Linked DNA regions of Drosophila melanogaster. The protein of the gene in region 1 interacts with the protein of each later gene in a pairwise test. Each region holds a gene or a part of one and is shown on either strand. Other genes may lie near its edges. The genes, in order: CG9890 and CG11076.

Region 1 (3,919 bases):
CAATCAGTATGTGCCCCATGTTGTGGAAGTCGCCGTACTGCAGATGGAAATAATATACATGGAAAGGTGATCTACAGATTATCACTTAGATTCCTTACCAGCGTACTGTTGGGCGTCAGATCGGAAGCCTCGATGATGTTGCCCAGGATGTCGATGCCCTTAGCGTCATCCAGCACGATCTTTTCATTGTTCGTCTAAAAAATAACCAATTAGTTGTTGGATGCATGTACTCCTGGAATCGGAGAGCTCCCCACTCACATCCAAAACGTAGCCCTGATGGATGGCCTCGTAGATGCGTTCGCGCCAGCGCTTCATATCATCGATGCCAACCCTCAACTGGTTGTTAGGCCGGTCCACATCGCTCAGCCGGGTGTTATCGAAGCGCGGAGGATACGCCCTACTGGCCACCAGCGAGTCCATCTTGGGGAAGTAGCCCTCGGCAATTGGTTCGTCCAGGTTGTTGAACGGCTGCACCCGGGCCATGTGGTTGCTCAGCCGCTCGGCATTGTAGCGGGCAATGATCTGCTGGTGCATATAGTAGAACAGCTCGCCACGACGGTCCTTGTCCACGATGCTGCGGTCGGGCGCCTCTATGGGATAGACCAGATGCCAGTGCCAGTGGTGCAGGTTGACGCCCAGGTCCTCGCGGAAGTACCACAGCCGGTGCTCCACATCGAGATCGGAGGCGGTGTACTTGACCGAACTGACGACGGGCAGGCGGGCGGCGGAGCGCTCCACCACAAAGGACTCCTCGCGCATGCTGCGAAGCATCTTCGAGTCGATAAAGCGATCCGGGAAGGTCTGCGCAAAGGCGGGCAGTTCGAGGTCCTTGGTGTCCGGACGGTGGAGCAGGGCCACCGACAAGGCGTAGTTGAAGAGCACCGGATTGACGCGATCCCTGGCGTACACCGCCACGCTCTGCAGCTCATCCACGGTCTGCATTTTGGTGAAGATCTCGATCAGGTGGCTGGCCATCTTGCGGTGGGACTTCAGGAAGATCGAGAACTGCTCCGAGCGGCCCAGTCTCATGGAGCAACTGAGATCCGGTATGGCGATCTCCTTGACTTGAACGTTCTTCTCGGACGCGCTGCTCACGCGCCGCTGGACCTTCTTGCACATCTGATTGTAGCGATCGGTCACGTAGGAGTCGGGCACGTCGAAGACGGTGCCATTGCCACCCTTGTCCATGAACACGGGCTCCGTGGGATGATCGAACAGAAGGAGCAGATTCTTCTTGTCGGCCATTTTCGATGGATTCGCGATTAGGAGGACCTTTAGCGAGCAGTTGCTGATTCTCAACTGCACGTCCCCACCCAACTATCAGCTCCTTTTATACCCAGCAGCCGAAATGCCCTATGGTTACATGGCGAACATCTCAAGTTCGTCAACCCCAAAAAACAATCTAAAATATTACTAACTTAAGAATTTTTAACTATTGCCATAGTATAAGCATTGAATCACAGAGTTCCGAAAAAAACATTTTTAACCGATAAGATGCTGCTGATTCATCATAGTCTGTTGAAAACTTAACGAACAATGTATTTGTAAGTTTCAGAATTTTAATTCACAGATAAGTTACAAATATTTGAATCGTATAATATCCTATAAGGATATTAACATTTCCAGTACGTGTTGTCTACATCGAAAATACTGAATATCATTTTTTGATTATTTAGTCTTCATAAGACAGTTGTAAGTATTTATTTAATTTTTTTTGTGCATTAAATTAAATTCATTAAATTTTCAATTGTTTCCAGTGTACGTCATAATTAAGCTTATCTCGCAAACAGTATTTTGCCGCTAAGCACCTGCGGTCACACTTATTCGTGGAGCACCAGGAGAACGTAAACAAATGGAGCACGAGGTGGCTGTTTCAGGAGGGGATTCCTCGCTGGAGGAGATCACTGGCAGTTCGAAACTCAAGCCCTCCAAGAACACGGCCATCAAGTGCCTGAAATGCGACAAGGTGTACATATTTCCGTCAGATAAAGATGACTGCCTGGCGCATTTGTATATGGAGCACCGACTGGTCATCGCCGATGTGGAGGATATAGCGCTTCTGGAGGACTACCTCCAGTACTGGGAAAAGGAGTTTCACAGTGAGAGAATCAGCAACCCTACCCTGAAAATTTAATAATTGTTACCCATTTTAGCCCACGAATTCGAGCAATATTGCACCACAATGTTCCTGGATCAGCTGCCCGATGGCAAGTACGCCAAGAACGAAAAGTACTACCTGCTGTGTGACATCCTGCCCCAGGACTACGAGCTGCGGCGAAGGTTGAAGGAGAAGCGCCTAAGTGAAGCCCTGGAGCGACATCAGTTCGAGCTAACCGACCGCACCTTCTCCAAGGAGTGCCTTTTCTGCAGGGCCATCATCAAGGGATTGAGGGCGGACTATCTGGACCATCTGTTTGACAAGCACTTTCTGTTGGTCGGCAAGCCCGAGAAGCTGGTGTATGTGGACGAACTGCTGGATCACCTGGAGGAGAACTTGAATCGGTTAATGTGCCTCTACTGCGAGAAGATCTTCAGGGATCGGCCCACGCTCAAGGAACACATGCGCAAGAAGGGCCACAAGCGGATCAATCCGAACCGAAGGGAGTACGACAAGTACTTCCTTATCAACTACAATCGTGTACCAACGGCCCCCACGCCCCGGAAACAGCACCTCCAAAAGCGAAGACGGGAAACGGCATCCGTGTCCACAGTTGCTGATCCTGAAACCGGCAGCGTGGACTTCGACAAGCACTTCGCTCGCCCTGATTCGGATGGCGAACACGATTCGGACTGGTCGGATTGGGCGGCAGATGGTGAGCCTAGCTCCATTAAGTGCCTGTTTTGCCACCATCTCGGCGACAACTTCACCGCCCTCAAGAAGCACATGCACGAGGTTCATCGCTTGGATTTCGAGAAGGCCACCAGCTCTCTGAACTTCTACCAACGCGTCAAGGTGGTCAACTACCTGCGCCGCCAAATGTGCCTGCTGCGCTGCGTGACCTGCGATCTGCAGTTCGACGAGGAGGAGCTGCTCGTGGAGCACATGGCACAAGAGTCGCACCACGGAATCGGCGATAAGGAGAGCTGGGACAAGCCCGAGTTCTTCTTCCCGTACATCGAGAACGATGGTCTGCTGTGTGTGCTGGATGATTCCGGAGGCGATGACCCGGACGTCGATACGGTGCGCATCATCTCCGAGGATAGTCTGGCGCAGATCAACAAGGATGCGGAGCGGTTGTCCCTCGAGAATTTTAAGCTGTTGTAACTGAGATTTTTGTATTGTACAGTTTACGTTTAAAAGAAACTAAGTAAATAGCAATGGAATTTAAGTGTGTACTATATTTATAGATACGTATGCACCAAAAACTTTATGCAGAGGAGCTAAATATTTTATTTAAATACCATATTTTTTAGTCCGCATAAGGGTTAATTCGTTCTGCTTAGCGAGTACAAGAACCTTGCCACCAAGCTAACGTTGCCACCTTTTCGTTGGACATCGATTGTTTTGCAGACTGACATCATTCCCATCAAAACGAACAAAATAAAGAGAAATTCAGCGAAAAATGGAGGCACTGGACATTCTGGAGAAGCGCATCGATGCCCTGACACGAGTCCTGGGTCCGGTCCAGGACTCTGAGGTGGGCGAGGGCGTGGTCGACGCCCTGTGCTCGGCACACGCCATCCTGGGCGAAGCAACCACAGGAAGTGCTGCACTGCAGCAGTGCGTGAAGAGATCTGACGAGCTGGAGAAGTACCTGGACCCCAACTTCCTGGAGGAGCACCAGCAGGTGCGCTCCAAGGAGGTGTACCTGCAAGCCGTGGCCCCCGAGCTGCACACGCAGGCCGAGCAGCTGGAGAGGATTAAGCAGCTGGAACCGGCCCTGGGCGCGGAGTACTTCCGCAGCATTCCCGCCGAGTG
Region 2 (3,959 bases), on another chromosome or scaffold:
TTAAAGAAAACTAGCTTACTTCTTGAGAATAATTGTAAATAAAAAATCAGGACTTGTCGAAGGCCACCGCAGCAGGTGCTTGCAAAAAAATATATATGTATCTAACATTGTATTAGATGCTTGATTTGTTTAATGAATGAATAAAACACATTCGGCTGATGATCCTGATCATCGAATAAAATTTATGGGATCGGAAAAGTTTGCTAATTTATATTGCCAGCGTATGAAAAGGTTTTCTTAATACCCCATATGTAAAGCTAATTGGTATCATTTTTTAATAAAAAGTACTATCAGTTTATTGATTTTCCTATCACTAGATACCAATATATACAGATTTATGTTATACTTAACGAAAGTGATACTAGTAGAATACATCATCGTAAAACTTAAACAGTAACAATTTGGGCATCAATATCGACAATTTTTAATATTATTTTTTAAGATAATGATGAACAATTAATATTATACTATTAATTATTAATTTAATTTTTAAGTAACTTTAATTTTCAAAATACTTTGTGAAGAATTCAATTGCAATATAACGAAAAAAAAATTTATTCAATTTAAAACGTCAAACAATATCGGCATACAATATATGTACATACCTAGTTAACTTACAGAAAGACGTACACGCAAATGTCTGACTAAAAAAATCTTTTTTTTTTTCAAAAGTCGTTTAAATTGAGTACTGTTATATATGTTATAAAACAGAAGTAACCTTAAATCATTCAAAATTGTTATGTAATATTTTTTTTCGCTCGTAACATTTTATTGAACGATAGGTTATGTTCGACAATTGCGCTATTAGCCAAAGCACATATTTTGTGCTGAACTTCGCAATTTAATACAATTGTTATCAATTAAAAATTTTTATTTTTGTGCTACTTACACAATTGCCCCAAGAATGGCAGCAAATTCTTATCGGCTTTAGATGCAGCACGTAACGCGAACATTTTTCTCGAACTAACTGAGAAGTGTGCGGGCGAGCAGAAGTCCTAGTGATGAGCAAATCGGTAGTCGCGATATATTGAGTATTTACGCTTCCAAAACATATCGAGGTTTTAGTATTTTTGCGTATTCAGACCATAATGTGGACTTACGTTGTTGTTACCGCACCAGGAGAGTGTCCGAATGCCACTTTTATATATACACAATGAACTGTAACTGTTGTGGTTGCCCGACACTAACGACTGATACACCCATGAAAAGGTGGTTTAATGGATTGCAAGCTGATGTGGCTGAGTAGAGGTAACTGCACCAACAAAAATAAGTAAAACAAGAGAGAACGCAAGTACGCAAGAGAAATTTAAATTATTTTATGGCTTATGGATAGAATTTGGAAAATATATGACAAAAAATGATATTAATAGTGGTAGGCGTGACAGTTTTGGGCGGCGTGTGGGCAATAGATTGTGCGTTGCAGCATCGATGAAAAAACTTGCCCTGATTCTTCGTCTCTGGAATGTTAAGTCTCAACTTGTTAAATCACTATCTAGCTTTCGTAGTTCCTGTGATCTCGACATACAGAGGGACATGTGTAGATCGACTCGGCTGGTGATCCTGATATGAAGATGATGAAGAAGATATGGTTGAAAAAGCGAGTAAACAATTCTTAGTCAGTCTGATTGGCAATTAATTTTTGTTTAAAAGATATCAAAAGCAAACAAAATTTTTCGATATTTGTCTTAATACAATTTTTGTCGGCTTGTCTGCCTGAAGAAAAGCGTTATTTTAAAACCTAAAAAATAAATTTGTTTATGTTAAACTGGTTGGTATGGGAAACTTAGGGTTTATTACTTTTGCTAAGCCCTTCCATTTTAGCGAGAAACAGCTATAAACATTTCCTTCCTACCCATCGCTAAAATCTAATAGTTTATCTAGGTTAGGGGTGTTTACGCTTACAAACACATAACTACAATATTTACTCCTTCAAATCATTTTAAGTTATCGATGCATCGATATTTCCCTTGTATTTTTCCACCTGTACCACGTGTGGTCATTTTCTGCAATACATTGATTTCCCCAACGCTCAATGAAAATAAGTAAAAAACTCTTTTCCCGCCAGGAGGAAAAACCTCGGAGCCAATTTCTGGAGGAGGAACAGTACGTGAACCTGACCTCAGGCGCGGCTGCTCGTGAGTGCTGCGGGGATGCTCTTTGGGATTTCGATGGTCAGACCGACGAAGCCTGGCTGGTCCAGTGTCCCAAGGGTGCAGATCCACATCTGCTAGTCGGCAAGCGCATTAGGCTTCCTGGCAGGAAGAGCGTGGGCGATCTCCAGGTTCGTGCCGTCAAAAACTCGACGTTACAGAGCGAGGCACTGGGCTATTTGAGATCTATGGGTCCCTATGCCCTCCGGAAAATTCCCTTTGTCGGCTATGTGGTAATCAGCAAGCGTCTATATGATAAACAACCGCTACCAGGTCAGAAGGAACATACAATTCAAGCTGATCTAACGCTACCCAAGTACCTATTACGAGAACGACATCCGTTGTTCGGGCGCAGCTACAAGCAACGCATCCAATTACCGAAGATGATTTCCACATCTCTTAGTCAAGCAGACGAGAAATTCTTGGAAGCTACTGCCAAGCTTCGCAGCACTGCTAACTACTACAAGATCCGGAGCAAGCTGCACACCACCACACAGACGCTAGAACAAAAAGAGGACGATGTGCGACAGTCGGTGCTTACCGGTCGTACGCCGCAGTTCATGAAGGAAACAATAATCCCGGATCTATATAAAGATCTCTTAGACGAAGAGGACATCGAGAAAAATATAATGAACCCAGCAGAGGAAGTTGGTCCTGCCAAAATGCGCAAGAAAAAATTTAATTCAAACGGTCACAAAACGGGAAATGCAGTAGGGAAATAGACAAAAGAAGCTTAAATTAAATGAAAGCAACGGCCGCTAATGACCTGGACGAAGTAATTGCACAAGAAGGCTTAAAAAAGTCGAATGGAAACCATTAAGAATTAGAGTTTACTTAAGATAAATTCACATACTTACGTAATTAAATAAAAATATGTAACGATTTGGATTATAGATTATCACATATAAGCTGCATAAATTAATGTAGTCATTTAATAACGAAATAAAATTGCACTTTGTCAAGGCGTGTTCACAGCACTATGAACAGCTGACGTTAATATCAGTACCTTAATAGTTGCGGAGAAAGAGCGGTGGTTAAAGTTAAGATTTATATTTAAAAGAATATTAAGAATACGCGTTGCGCATGTTCCGAAAGAGATTTCTGTGCTAAAACAGTTCGATACTTAAAACGTTTAAGTTATTTTACATTACATTACATTAAATTGCATATTGAACGCAATTTAACGTTTTCTCATTCGGCATGTAACAATTAAAAGGACTCACGCGCGTTAAAAAGTTGAATACGCTAGCATAATTTAATTTAAATAATTATTCAGAGTTGCCAATTTTTGTCACTTCAGCAATTGACACCAATCACTTTGCGATTATTAGGCAACCCTTTAAAACTACACGAACAACAGCAAATCGATTTCTCAGTTGTGTTTTAATTGCGTATTTAAAACAATTTGGATCGGGCTATGAATGGAACTGATCTCTGATAAGGATGAAGAGACTTAAAGCGTACCTAAAGGATGGCATCAATGTGGCGGCGGTAATGTGTCTGGGCGATACTATATCCCAGTTCTTTTTTGATAAGAAATCGTTGGACGAATGGGATGCGGGGCGAACCCTCCGTTTCGGCATCGTTGGACTGGTGTTCGTTGGCCCAACTTTGCGCCGGTGGTACCATTTTTTGGAGTCCCGGGTTCCCAAAACCTACTCGCCAATGCGGCGGGGCGTTACCAAAATGCTGGTCGACCAGACCCTTTTTGCGCCACCCTTTACCATGGCCATGTCTTTTTTGGTGCCACTCTCCAACGGAGAGCCCATCGACCGAATCCGGCAGCGCATTCTTGATAGCTACCTATCT

Evidence for each region.
Region 2: the proteins of CG9890 (region 1) and CG11076 interact in a two-hybrid assay, tested with the Drosophila melanogaster proteins (2 studies listed by BioGRID).

Annotation. Positions count from the first base shown.
Region 1 is NT_033778.4:23,062,155-23,066,073, reverse strand, and holds CG9890 (uncharacterized protein), read left to right. Parts: upstream 1-1,813; 5' UTR 1,814-1,852; coding exon 1,853-2,099; intron 2,100-2,153; coding exon 2,154-3,265; 3' UTR 3,266-3,327; downstream 3,328-3,919. Other genes in the region: PPO3 (prophenoloxidase 3), read right to left, coding at 1-37, 99-194, 259-1,245; DCTN3-p24 (dynactin 3, p24 subunit), read left to right, coding at 3,564-3,919. UniProt on the Drosophila melanogaster protein: DNA binding protein which is involved in the positive regulation of both basal and inducible transcription.
Region 2 is NC_004353.4:1,028,884-1,032,842, reverse strand, and holds CG11076 (uncharacterized protein), read left to right. Parts: upstream 1-1,867; 5' UTR 1,868-2,032; coding exon 2,033-2,872; 3' UTR 2,873-3,132; downstream 3,133-3,959. Other genes in the region: ATPsynbeta (ATP synthase, beta subunit), read right to left, coding at 890-953; mitochondrial inner membrane protein MPV17, read left to right, coding at 3,594-3,959.